Caenorhabditis elegans: one gene and its partner. The gene in region 1 interacts genetically with each later gene. Each region holds a gene or a part of one and is shown in the gene's direction. Other genes may lie near its edges.

Region 1 (5,266 bases):
CGGCAGTGAAAGATCTCGCGGGCTCTTGTCAAGGATTTAGGGAAATTTCGGATTGTTCGCACGTGGGTGGAACGCGAAAACAGAGGGTTGAGAAGCGACGATCCTTGTTTGGGCAGCAGACGAGCTTCAAGTATCAGATCTACAGGAGTTGCCAGGATTATCGATTCACGTTGGTTTACCATTTTACCTCTTTTGCCACCTTAACCAATAATAAGTACTTTCGGTCCGTCCTTTTTCGTTTTTGCAGCACGTACTTCAGCACAGTCGGCTCCATCAGCAACACCAGCAGCTCCTGCACAGTCAACATCATGTCGGCAACATCGAACGATCGGGCTCTTCACGACGGCGTCAGCACATTAAATTTCCCCAATTTATACCGTTCGTGGCCCTCATATCGTTCAAGTTGGGCGCCTGGCGCCCAACTGCCCCTAATTTTCTACTTTTGTCACGACCTGTACCACACGCAAAGCCCATAAATTCTGTAACTCAATTTCCTCCTTTTCTCGTACCTCATTTCTCTCGAACGGAGCTAGGAACAAGGGAAAACCTTTTCTCGGGGGAGCGCAGCGACCCGAGAATATATATTTATGAGAAGTAAATTGAGAAACAAATATTCGGAAGCAAACTTGAGAACAGTTTTCCTAATTTCTCAAGAAACAAAGCATTAAAGTAAAATTATTGTGACAATAAGCGTGCTTAGAAACACTAAACGATAAAATTATGTTATTTGACAAATATTTAAACATAATAACAATATAAAATATATAAATTGAAAGGCTAAAAGTATTTAAATAGATATTTGGGAATTAAACTTTGTTGGAACGCAGAAGTTGCGCCCTTGGTTCATCGTTGGCGCGTTTCTCGTGCACCTGCAGGACATGTTTGCGTCTTTCTCGCTTTTTTAATATTTTTTCGTGTTCAATTTTATATTTATCAATGTTTTTCTATTATAAACACTTCATTCCAATTAAATTAAATGTAGTCTATCAATAATACGTTTTTCAGTAACTTAACCACGCTGTCAAAATGGCGATGAAAAGTGTGGCAGTGCTCACAAAAGGCATGTTTGGAAGAATTCCGGCTCAAGTGAGATTTTCTCATTCAAATATACGTTTCAAATAATCAATTATTTAGCTTGCCGTCAGCAGTGTTCCTTCCAACACAATTCAAAAGAGATCCAACTACAAATTCGTTGGTATGCCCAATGAAACCGATGGAACACTGGCTGGAGATTTGAATTACGGGCTTCACAATGTTTTCTTCACCGAACTTTTCAGAGGTAATTTTAAACTAAATTTGAATCAAAATTATTTTGAAGTATACTGTGTGAAGGAAAAATGTCAATTTTTCAGGTTTCGGAGTGATGCTTGGTCACGTATTCATGGAGCCAGCTACTATCAACTATCCCTTCGAAAAGGGACCACTCAGTTCAAGATTCAGGTACAGAAATTAAAAATTGAAATTAAATCATAAAGCATTTGTTATAATCAGCTTGGAAGAAAATAAGCATATTTTGGTTGTATTTTAATAGTTTTCAAAAAACTGAACAAACTTGCACCTTCACACGACACATATTCGAAAATTCTTTAATTAAAAATATTAATTATTTAGTTAATTTAAAAAAAAACAAAAATTATTAACAAAAAAATCAGTATTTTAGAGGAGAACACGCTCTTCGTCGATACCCGTCTGGTGAAGAAAGATGCATTGCTTGCAAGCTTTGCGAAGCCATTTGCCCAGCTCAAGCTATCACGATCGAGGCCGAAACAAGACCTGACGGAAGTCGCCGTACCACTAGATACGATATCGATATGACCAAGTGCATCTATTGTGGATTATGCCAGGAAGCTTGCCCAGTCGATGCAATTGTCGAGGGCCCGAACTTCGAATATTCGACTGAAACTCACGAAGAACTCCTCTATAATAAGGAGAAGCTCTTGTTGAATGGTGATCGCTGGGAGCCTGAGCTCGCTTCCAATCTTCAAGCCGAATATCTTTATCGTTAAGATAATACGAATTGTGGGAAATGAGAAGAGAACATTTTAAAATACCTGATTTTTTCGTAGCTTTTTCGCTTTTCCGTTTTCTGTTGTCAGATGATTTATTTTTAATTTTGAGGTTTTAGTATTTGTTCCCCTTTTCTGATAACTTCCGAATTGTAGATGAAAAACAAAATATGTTATATACTTTTATGTTTTCTCTATGTTTTTCTTAAATATCGTTCACTAGTCGATGTTGCTCTATTGTTTTTTCGATATCTCAAGGTAAAACTGTTACACATTTCCTCATGTGGACTTTTTGTTCCAAAAATTATTCGTAATTCAGATGTCCGTCGAAGAAGGTATGGAAGTTGAGTTAAAGTCAGAGAAAATGGATTTGGATGACAATATTCCCGACTTTGTGAAGGAAACTGTGGAAAGAAGCGGAAAGAATCCAATGTCATTATTCTCAGAGCTTTATGTTCATATGACAGGCAACACTCCAGTTTTTGATTTCTATAACAGAAACCAACCGAACGGATCCATGAAATTTATATGTGTTGTAATTTTAAATGGAGAACGAATCGAGGGAAATGTAAAATCCAAAAAGAAAGAGGCAAAGGTGTCGTGCTCATTGAAAGGACTGGAAGTCGTGCTCAAGCATGTTAGCGAATACGTTGTGCCTGCTGTCAAATTTGAGGAGAAAACCACATTTTTCGAGATGCTCAGAGAACATACATACGCGAAATTTTATGAGTCAGTGGAAAAAATAATTCATAGTGAATGTATCCCTTTTATTATCATTTTAGACTTTGTAAGAACAACGCCTTAATCTATGGATTCGAAAAAGTGATCGCTTCTGTTTTCCTGAAAATCAATGGAAACCTCCAAATCATTGCTCTCTCCACTGGAAACAAGGGATTACGCGGAGACAAAATTGTAAACGATGGAACAGCTCTCATAGATTGTCATGCTGAAATTCTCGCAAGAAGAGGCCTTCTGAGATTTTTGTATTCCGAAGTTCTAAAGTTCTCTACAGAGCCACCCAATTCAATTTTTACAAAAGGAAAGAACGCATTGGTGCTGAAGCCAGGAATTTCTTTCCATTTATTCATAAACACCGCACCATGTGGAGTTGCGAGAATAGATGTAACTTTTCAAGTATTAATTTTTGTAAATTCTTCATTTGAATTATTTTCAGAAAAAGCTAAAACCCGGAACATCAGATGACCTTCAAAATTCTTCTCGTCTTCGATTCAAAATTGATAAAGGTATGGGCACAGTGCTCGGTGGTGCTTCTGAGTTTGAAGCTCCACAAACATTTGATGGAATCATGATGGGAGAACGAATGAGGACAATGTCTTGCTCTGATAAATTGCTTCGAGCAAATGTACTGGGTGTCCAAGGAGCAATATTATCACATTTCATCGATCCAGTTAGTTTAACCTGATTAGTATAACATGAGATCTTGATTTTCAGATCTATTACTCGTCAATCGCCGTTGCCGAGTTGAACAATGCAGATCGTCTCCGTAAAGCAGTTTACAGCAGAGCAGCCACCTTCAAACCTCCAGCTCCATTCCATGTTCAAGACGTGGAAATCGGAGAGTGTCAAGTGGAAGATACTGAGCAATCAACTTCTGCAGCAGCACGATCCACGATTAGTTCGATGAATTGGAACTTGGCTGATGGAAATACAGAAGTTGTACGAACATCGGATGGAATGGTTCATGATAAGGATATGAGCGGGGCTGACATCACGACTCCATCCAGATTGTGTAAAAAAAATATGGCAGAACTGATGATTACTGTAAGCTGGGGGAAAATAAAAATAATTTTCTTGATGTTTTGAGTGTGAAACTCAACAATTCCTTCTATTTCAGATCTGCACGTTGACAAAGACTTCTGTGGATTATCCAATCTCATACGAAGAACTCAAAGCTGGATCTCAAGAATACGCTGCTGCAAAAAAGTCGTTCATTACCTGGCTGCGACAGAAGGATCTCGGAATTTGGCAACGAAAGCCACGAGAATTTCAAATGTTTACTATAAATTAATCAATGCAATTTTACCTTTATTGTATCAAAAGTTCAATGTGGTTCCACTTTTAAAAATCTCATGCAGCATCGTGTATTCATTCCATTTTAGCTGTTAACTCTTAATTTCTGCATTAATTAATTGTTAATCTTTTATTTTTTGGACTTACAATTTTCAGTGATTCGAGTTACTTATCTCGGAGTTGAATATTATTTAAGGAAACGAAAACTGGAATAAATATGTTTTTATAGAAATTTCCAGATGCCTGCATCAGTGACCCATGTGATTTTCGATTTTGACGGTCTTCTCGTCGACACAGAATCTGCATACACGGAAGCGAATATGGAGCTTTTGAGAAAATATGGACACGTTTTCACAATGGATTTGAAGAGAAGTGAGAAGAAATATCAGAAATATTTTTATTTTAATATAAATTTCAGGGCAAATGGGAAAACGCCATGATGAATCGATCCGATGGCTAATCAACGAACTGAAAATCGGCGATCTTGTGACACCGGAAGAGTATTCACGTCAATACGATGAACTTCTCATCGAAATGTTCAAAAGGAGTCCTGCGATGCCTGGAGCTGAGAAACTGGTTCGTCACCTTCTTCATACCGGAGTTCCAGTTGCATTGTGTACTGGATCGTGTAGTCGCACATTTCCAACGAAATTGGATAACCACAAAGATTGGGTGAACATGATCAAGTTGCAAGTTTTATCGGGAGATGATCCTGAAGTGAAACACGGAAAACCACACCCAGATCCATTTTTGGTGACTATGAAACGATTCCCACAAGTTCCAGAATCGGCGGACAAAGTTCTTGTATTTGAAGATTCGTACAATGGTGTCTTGTCGGCACTCGATGCTGGAATGCAATGTGTGATGGTTCCAGAACGATCGATTTTCGACCCCGATTCAGACCCAGAATTCAAAAATCGTGTGACTGTGATTTTGAATAGTTTGGAACAGTTTAAGCCAGAGGACTTCGGATTGCCCCCATATTAAATATATCATATTTTTCTTTCAAAAAACTGATGGTTTACTTCTATCTGTATTCGATCGTACTTTGTGATATTCACATAACCATTTTATATTTCTAGTTGTTTTTTTTTGAATATATTTTTGCAACAGTTTATTTCACATTGACTCTTTCATCGATCGATAGTGTTTGAGGCACTAATTATTATCTTATTTGACTTTCAAAGTTAAGGCAAATATATTATAACTGATTTTCAAATTTTTCTACA
Region 2 (8,035 bases), on another chromosome or scaffold:
ACACACAAATGCACACAAAATTATTCGGAAAACGGAGAAAAATTGAGTGGAAGTCGCGCCGTTTGTGGCGGCTCCGATTTCTTGGCGAAAAGCATGCATTTGGAGGTTTTTGAGCCATTTTTCTAAAGGAAAGGACCGAAACGTAATTTTTAGATTAATGGGCATGAAACATGAAAGGAAATTTATTTTAGAATTTTTAGTTTTTTTCTCATGAAGCTCTAGACAAAAAATAATGTAACTCTATTAGAAAACGCATGCGCGCTGGGACATATAATCTGATAACAGACAAAACGAAGGAAAAATCGGGCAGACACAATTTTCATTTTTAGGATACCGAAAGTGAGAAAGAGTCAGATTTCAGGGGTTTGATTACACTGAATTTAATAATTAAATTTTCAAAGTATTAAGGTTTGAATTGTTTCGGATAAAACTGAAGAAACAGCTTATCCTGTCATTATTTCAGTAATTCATGACTTTCCTTGGTTTATGGAAATGTTCTCCAGAATAACGTGGGAATAATGGCATCAAAACAGAAAACAAAAAGCGGAGGACCGAAAAGAGGCCGAAAGAAGTAAATGGAGAGAAAACGGAAATGAGAAGCAAAAAAATACGAAGAGATGGGGAAGATGCTAACAAAAACTGCAGAACGAGAGGAGCAGTGCGTTGAAAACAAGAAAAATACGAAGAAGAAGAAGACGTTGTTTCGGCACTCGGAGGCTTTTTCCTGCGCAAATCGATGTAGGACTTTGGGCATGAAAAGACACGAAGAGTTGGAGAAGAGGACAGACGGATGGGGGAGATACGTGAAAAAAGAGCCGGAAAATGGGAGGGGAGGAAGTGAAAAGGGTGGACTTTTTGATGATGGAGAAAGAAGCAAACTAAGAAATGATGAGCAACTTTTGGTATTTCTCAAATATTCATGCAAGTAAACATTAAAATAATATGGAGTGGCTAGAACTGGAAAAAAATTAAGTCATGTCAAACCGTCATGAATAAAATTTTAACGAATTTAAAAATGTTAAATGTTCAAATAAAACCCTGATTTTAAGAAAATTCCAGTTCAAGTTCATCCATATTACTTATTAGTAAACGTTAGTTAAAAGTTTGAAAGCACAGTTCCCAATAAAACAAAACGAAACCGTGATTTGTCTCCAGTAGTGAGTCGTTTGCTGATTTCCGAAACCACGACATTGTAGAATATTCCTGAAAATTAACAATTTTGAAAGAGAATAAATACAGTCCTGATCTTCAATAAATAAAGAATTAAAAGAGAAACGATCAAACGAATAATGAGCATTGAAACACAATTATTTACCACGATTTTCCTAAAACAGCAACATGTGCTTAAACACGGGACTGGACTCATGAGAAAATGTCTGACTGAAAACTCGTCCAAGGACACGTTGCATATGAATTTCGCAACTAATAAATTGTAACTGGACAAATAATATGAACTTTAAAAAAAAAATAAAAAGAATTTATTATTTAGCAGCTGATGTGGTTTTACAAAAAATATTTTGACGAAATCAATATTTAAGCATCAGAAACTTTATATTTTTCGCATTTGTGATAAAAACAGCAGATTAGAAATATTAAATTGCAAATAAAATCTTAAAAACTCATGAAAATCCGGGAAACGTGTATTATGAGACCACTTCAATTTTTGAATTGTGTGAGTCGGGCGAAACAGAATTATGAAAAGTAGTTAAAATCCTTTAACACTATGTTTTAGAATATTTATAACAATTTAGCTGCTATTCTTTCTCACTTAAAATGTGAGCGAAGTTTTCGTTTTCGGCATTGAACGCATTTCTTTCAAACTTTATTCACAGATTCCGTGACGTGTCAGTAGAGCAAATGCGCTCCATGGAACTATCGACTTTTCGAATGCGACGCGTTCCGCGCTCAACGATTCGGCTCATTTTTTGCTGCGTTCTCGCTTATTATTTCGTTCCGCAATTGTAAATGTATCACTGAAATGTACAATTCGCTTAGTTTCTGTCAATTTCAATAGAAAAATAGTGTTATTCTCACAATGCAACAGCCCTTTTTGTTTCAAAACATTGAAAGCAATGTCAGTTTATGGGAAATTCAGTTAATCAATAATTATAGCATATTGAGAGGAGCATTATATCTCAGTCATAAGCCATTTTGTTCTTGACGTTTTATAATTTTCATTCCTTTTTAGTCTAGGATTTTTAGAATTAGAGGGCCTAAAATTATTTGCTTTTCTCTTCTGAATGTGTTTTTTGTTCTCAATGCTACACGAAGTCTTTCAACTAGCTATTTAGTTGCTTCTATTGCTTAAAAGAACAACTGAATAGTATGTTTATTTCCTACTCTCGGCATATTTCCTCTATATTGTAATGTATTTTGTGTCTACTTAAGAACGTGGAGTTTGTCATTATTCCCAATGCGGCATACTCTGTGATCTTACTGCTTCCCTCTTATTTCTCGTGTAATTTCATTGTCCGGTTCGAAATGTTTTTTTGTGCCGGGTAATGTCACGACTTTCAATAGTGTGAATCTTTTCTCGAAAACTTCATACGATTGCTAGTCATCATTTTTTCTGCAGGTAATTTATTTGACTACGAAATGGATCAAAATCCTAACTACAACTTCGGTTATGGACAGGCCTATGGCTCTGGCACTGATCACACCAGCGATTCCGTACGTTAACTCTAAACTTTTGTGGGTACTCGATTAGAGTTGGAGTGAAATCCAATACAAATTAAAACTCAAGTAGGATTCACTCCAGCTTTAAAGCAATTAAAAATATTGGAAGAACCCCAAATAGTTTGGCGTTGTCGTATGCATCGACAATTAATACATTTGTTGACGTTTACAGTGTCAATAAGTTCATCTGCCTAATACAAATGAACTTTTTCTCACTTTGCAATAATTAAGTTTTGTTATAGATGCATTTCTGGATGATTATTATAAATTAAAATTTATATCATCCAGGGTTGGATCCTCTCGGTGATATTTTCAAAAATTAGCTTAAAATTGTTTATTTCTGTATCTTAAATCGTATCAAATTAGCAAAACCTAAGGTTTGAGATCCTTCAGCTAAAAAACAATATCAAAAACTTTCTAATACAAAAAATCACTAAGCTGAATTATCTCAAAAGCTTAGAAAATTTTGCTTAATTAATTTTTCAATTTTCCAGACCAATAATTACAACTGGGCAAGTCAATGGAGCCAACCAGAGTCCGCTGCCTCGCTGGCTACCCACACGGTATGATAAAAACTAACAATTTCGGAAGAAAATACAATTATTTTTTTTCAGTTCCCACAATATGTCAGCCAACAACAGCAGCAGCAGCAACAACAGGCTCAACAACAAGCTCAGAATACTTATGCAGCCATGAACCCAATTTCAACATTCATGCAACAACAACAGAGAGCACAAACCTTCCCACAGAAGGTATATTTATTTTTAATTTAAAGAACAGCTCCAGTTGAAACTAATAGTTTATTTTTAATTGAAAGAACAGAAGCGTTTTCTAAAAATTATCACAATTTGGAATTTCTAATGTGAGAAACTGATACAGAAATACGGACAACAAGGCGGTGCTCCAAAACCATCTGCAATTCGTAACAACAATTTCGGTGCGTTTGGCGGAGGGCACGCTTTGAGTCAGGAGTGGGTGCAACCAATGTCGCAAAACCAAATGGGTGGCCCACAGGGAAATCGTTTTTTTAACAATCAAAAAGGCGGTCCATTCAACCAAAACAAACCAAATTGGAGGGTGGGAAATTATTTTTATTTTATATTGCAATAACGTTTTTATTTCAGCAAAATAAGCCCAAGGGTCCAGCTGCTCCCAAAAAGTTTGATTCGACTGGGAAAAGCCCAGCGATGTTGCTTCATGAGCTGTTCAAGGATGTTTCTGAAGAGTAAGTTATTGAATTTATTAGAAAGGCAATCAAATTATTGAACTTTTTCAGGTACACTGAGGTTGAGGGCGTTCCGAAAAAGTATTGCTGCACATTGAAAGTAAACGGACGCACTTTTCAAATGGAATCAGTCAACAAGAAAGCAGCGAAACAAAAATGTTCGGAACTTGTTGTTCGCGATCTTCGTCCGGATGTTCATGTAACACCATTTGAAGAAGGTGTAGCAGCAAAAGCAGCGGCTCCAGTGAAAAAGGAAATCGATGCCGCTTCTGGAAATGGGCAGAACAACAAGAGAAATGTACGTTCGAACTACAATTGGTTTTAATAAGTTTTATATTAGTTGCTTCAGGCTGATGCTATTTCAAATCAACCGACACCGAAAAAGGTCTCCGCTGTTAAGAAAGCAAAGGTAAAATTCAAATTTTCAAAAGCTGTACTTATAAATTCTCAAGCTCCAGTTGACACCTGTTGAATCTGCGCTTTCGTTGCTAGATCTAATGCAAAAAATAATTGCTGAGTCTGCCGAGAAGTATTCACCAGTTTTCGAAGCTTCGGAGGTTCCAAAAGATCCAGAGATTCCCGAAGTCGAAGTCAAAAAAGAAGAAGTGGATACAAATGGAGAAAACGTTGCCAATGAAAAGAAGAGTGGTTGGCGCAAAAATGAGACCATGCATAATGTCACTTTGAAATTCGTGGAGCAAAATAAACAATATACAAAGATGGGACCAAGTCGTGGAGTTTTGAAAGATATGGTCATTCGTGAAGCTCTTCGTGACTTGTTCAACGTGTCACATGCCGACATCACCACTGTTGCCCGTAGACATGCAAGTAATCGTCTTGGACACGATACGACAATCCTTCAATGTCTCAATACCATTTGCTCAATTTTAAATTGCACTCTTACTATTGAATGTGAGCCAGCAGAAGACAGACCACTTGGTATCGGAAGAGCATATTTCATGGCAAAATGCACAATTATTGATCACAATGGTATTTTTACTAGAATCTCAGATTTAGAACAGTTTTTCAATTTTTTCAGAGAATGATTTGAAATTTGAAGTCAAGTCCTCATCACTCGCTTCCAAAGCAATGGCCAAAGACTGGGTCGCGCAAGAAACACTAAAAAACTATTTTGCAATAGATCCATCTTCCTGTGTGAAAACAGATGCTGTCAGCAGTCAGGGACCGTGTGCTCTTCTCCACGCGATGCTCAACAAGCAGACGAAACAGAAGTGCAAGATTGCCTATGAATTCAAGGACAATGTACCTCCAGTTGCTGGACAGGCTACAACGACATTCTAGTAAGTGAAGTACAATTTCAGAATCCTTTTTTGAAAATATTTTATGAGGCTGTTTTAATTGAAAATTTTCAGTTGTGAATGCGTAATCGATGAAACCGATCGGTACATTGGCGTTGGTCGTTCGAAAAAACTGGCTAAAAGTGAAGCGGCAATGCAAGCTCTGAAGAAGCTTTTCAAAATTGACTATGATCCAGCCGGCAACTATCCACTTGCATTGACAAGTCGTGCTATGACCGAGTCAAAGGTTTCTCCATTATGCAGACATATCGCAGAATTTTGTAAGAGAGAATACCACCAGATGACTGAATACTATCAAATACCTCCCAGCAATTTGTTTGCTGCGTAAGTTTTCAAACATTATTTTCAAAAGAAATTTATTCAACTTTCAGTTTCCTATTGGTCAATGCTCAAGAAGAGAAGCGTGTTCTTGCAATGGGTTCATCTATACAATATATAGTCGAACCAGATACTCTCAGTGGAGCCAATGGAACATCTCTACTTCATTTGGATGCTATTATTCTTGCCCGCAGAGCAATGTTGAAGGCATTTATCCATGAACTTAGCACCGTTGATTCAGAATGTTCAATTTTCGAGAAAAAGGAAGAGGGAAAAGCTGCCTTAAAGCCGAATCTCCGGCTTGTTCTCTATTCCAACTACTCGCCACCATGCATTCATGCAGTCGATGATGCTGCAACTAAGAAGTTGTCATATGTAACGTGAGTTTAATAGAATTTTAGTTTCTGCAAAAACTATTTCACCATTTTCAGGCCAACAAATCTGACATGTGTACCAGACGATGTGCTTACCTACGAACAAATTAAGGAAACGAAGTCCCTTCGAGTTCATTGCACTGCGGATAAACTATTCAAATGGAACACTTTGGGAATTCAAGGCGCTCTCCTCTCCAATGTTCTTCATCCAATTTTCATTGATAACATCTTCTTCGGCTCAGAAGCTCCAGTCTCTGATGAATCACTCAGTTATGCTTTGCAAGGACGCCTTGGACCAAACGAAAATGAACGAGAGATCATTGTGGAGAGTATGCCTGTGCAAATGAGAATGCATATGGGCATATCTCATCTCTGGCACCGTGGAGTGGATTCTGTTGAAACTCTGGATTACAATACTGGACGCACTTCAAAGGGATCCCCATCGCGAGTTTGTAAAGCTGAAATCTTTGAGGCGTATCGTAAATTGAACGGAGTCGACCAGGCCGTTGTGAATTATGCGAAGGCGAAAGAGATGGCGTCTGAATACCAGTATGAGAAGAAAGTGTTCTATGAAAAGGTTGGTGTTTTATTTTCTTCTTTTCTTCGTCTTCTTCTTCATAATATTAATTTTCAGCTCGAGGCTGCGGGACTCGGAAAATGGCAAACAAAACCAGCTGAGCTTGTTGACTCCTTCACTCTTGCTGCTTTCGATTAATTACTCAATAATTCATAATTTAATTACCACCATTTCTTCGATCTTCGTTTTCTCTCTGCACCTTCTTTTTAACTATCTTTGAAGTGTATGATCTTCAAGCCATTGCCGCTTTAATGCGGTATTCTTTTGTTGTTTAATTTTTTAAATTTTTCTGACGCCAAAATAATTTATAAAGTATTGGTTAAAGCAAGTTTACAGTCTCATGTGAGAATGGTGGAGTTTGCATTTATTCAAATCCAAAACCAATTTGTGAATGTTCGAAAGTCTTTCGCGGTGAAAAATGTGAAAAGAAGCAGATATCTGTGTCTCTTTCCTCACATTATAAAGGACACTTTTTGGATTTTTCGAATGACATTTTGACAGTTGATATTCTAGAATTTAGTTGAGAATAAATTGGTAGAGGTTAGCAAATCGGAAGCTTGGAAAACAATTAAGAACCTATTTGGAAATGTTTCTGATACTCCGTTTGCAAATCATCCAAATAATATGGAAACATTCCCAATGACTGGTTATGTTAATCTTCATAATGTTGATATCATTTAAATTTGATTTCTATAAAAAATTTGAAGTAAATAAATATTTTCACAGCTTCATTGTGATTCATTGTGACAATTTTTAATGTACACAACAACTGAACCATTTCTTTATCAAAATTTTGTACCATTTTAATAATTTTTCCAGCTCTAAGAATTGAAATTTGCCCTGAACATTAAAAATGTAAACCTGCTGTAACATTTTAAAAGTTGTTATTTTTCTATTAAAAGTTCCTGCATTTTCTAAATTAACATCGAAGTTGTGTATTTCTCAAAAGAAGCTCATCGCGTTTTCCTGGCAACCTCTTTTGCTTTTTCAATAATACGTCTTCCCACAGGCAGATTTGCAGACAACAGTGGTCAACTACTCAAAGGAGAGCGACACCAATCTATATAGTCTCCCCAGAGAGAGAGAGAGAGGAGAGGGAGGAGAGAGAGAGATCTTCCCAGAAACCTGGTTGTGTATGTGATTCTATATCGATCGCTATGTGCACACCGAAAACGCCGCGTTTGCAGGCAGCTAGATCGACACAGATGTTTTCGGTCATTCATTTTTTTTGCTTACCCCCCTTCTTGTGAGTGCGATCCACTCAAATATAAAGGGTTCCTGGCGAGGGCCATCTGATTAGGGTGCTTGCACTAGGCCAATTTAGGGATTCGTGTTCTGTGGATCAGTTAAGGAAAACAACCCTAGGTCTTTTAGCTGGTTTTGCTACAGCTTTCTTTTTTTGTCCTGAGTTGATTAGTTTGAAGAAGATTTCCGATCTAAATTTTAACTTGAGCTAAGCTAATTAATTTTTTTTTCAAAAAAAAGAAGAGTTGTAACTCTTCTCATCTTTCAAAGTTTTTTAAAGTGCTCTTCTTGTGATTTTTCA

The links.
Region 2: of adr-2 (region 1) and adr-1, changing one enhances a phenotype caused by changing the other (phenotypic enhancement), as found in Caenorhabditis elegans (one study listed by BioGRID).

What each region holds. Positions count from the first base shown.
Region 1 is NC_003281.10:7,229,942-7,235,207, reverse strand, and holds adr-2 (Double-stranded RNA-specific adenosine deaminase adr-2), read left to right. Parts: upstream 1-2,325; coding exon 2,326-2,735; intron 2,736-2,788; coding exon 2,789-3,128; intron 3,129-3,180; coding exon 3,181-3,414; intron 3,415-3,458; coding exon 3,459-3,788; intron 3,789-3,861; coding exon 3,862-4,035; 3' UTR 4,036-4,169; downstream 4,170-5,266. Other genes in the region: ndus-8 (putative NADH dehydrogenase [ubiquinone] iron-sulfur protein 8, mitochondrial), read left to right, coding at 1,027-1,086, 1,135-1,279, 1,353-1,440, 1,661-2,006; R151.10 (uncharacterized protein), read left to right, coding at 4,277-4,409, 4,456-5,024. UniProt on the Caenorhabditis elegans protein: Catalyzes the hydrolytic deamination of adenosine to inosine in double-stranded RNA (dsRNA) referred to as A-to-I RNA editing. Acts primarily on non-coding regions of protein-coding genes including introns and untranslated regions (UTR).
Region 2 is NC_003279.8:7,770,843-7,778,877, forward strand, and holds adr-1 (A-to-I RNA editing regulator adr-1), read left to right. Parts: upstream 1-2,575; 5' UTR 2,576-2,595; coding exon 2,596-2,670; intron 2,671-3,170; coding exon 3,171-3,239; intron 3,240-3,290; coding exon 3,291-3,428; coding exon of another isoform or gene 3,429-3,449; intron 3,450-3,555; coding exon 3,556-3,753; intron 3,754-3,800; coding exon 3,801-3,901; intron 3,902-3,952; coding exon 3,953-4,199; intron 4,200-4,241; coding exon 4,242-4,310; intron 4,311-4,353; coding exon 4,354-4,891; intron 4,892-4,940; coding exon 4,941-5,202; intron 5,203-5,274; coding exon 5,275-5,544; intron 5,545-5,591; coding exon 5,592-5,918; intron 5,919-5,969; coding exon 5,970-6,489; coding exon of another isoform or gene 6,490-6,546; coding exon 6,547-6,627; 3' UTR 6,628-6,813; downstream 6,814-8,035. Other genes in the region: nsf-1 (Vesicle-fusing ATPase), read right to left, coding at 1,140-1,203, 1,316-1,366.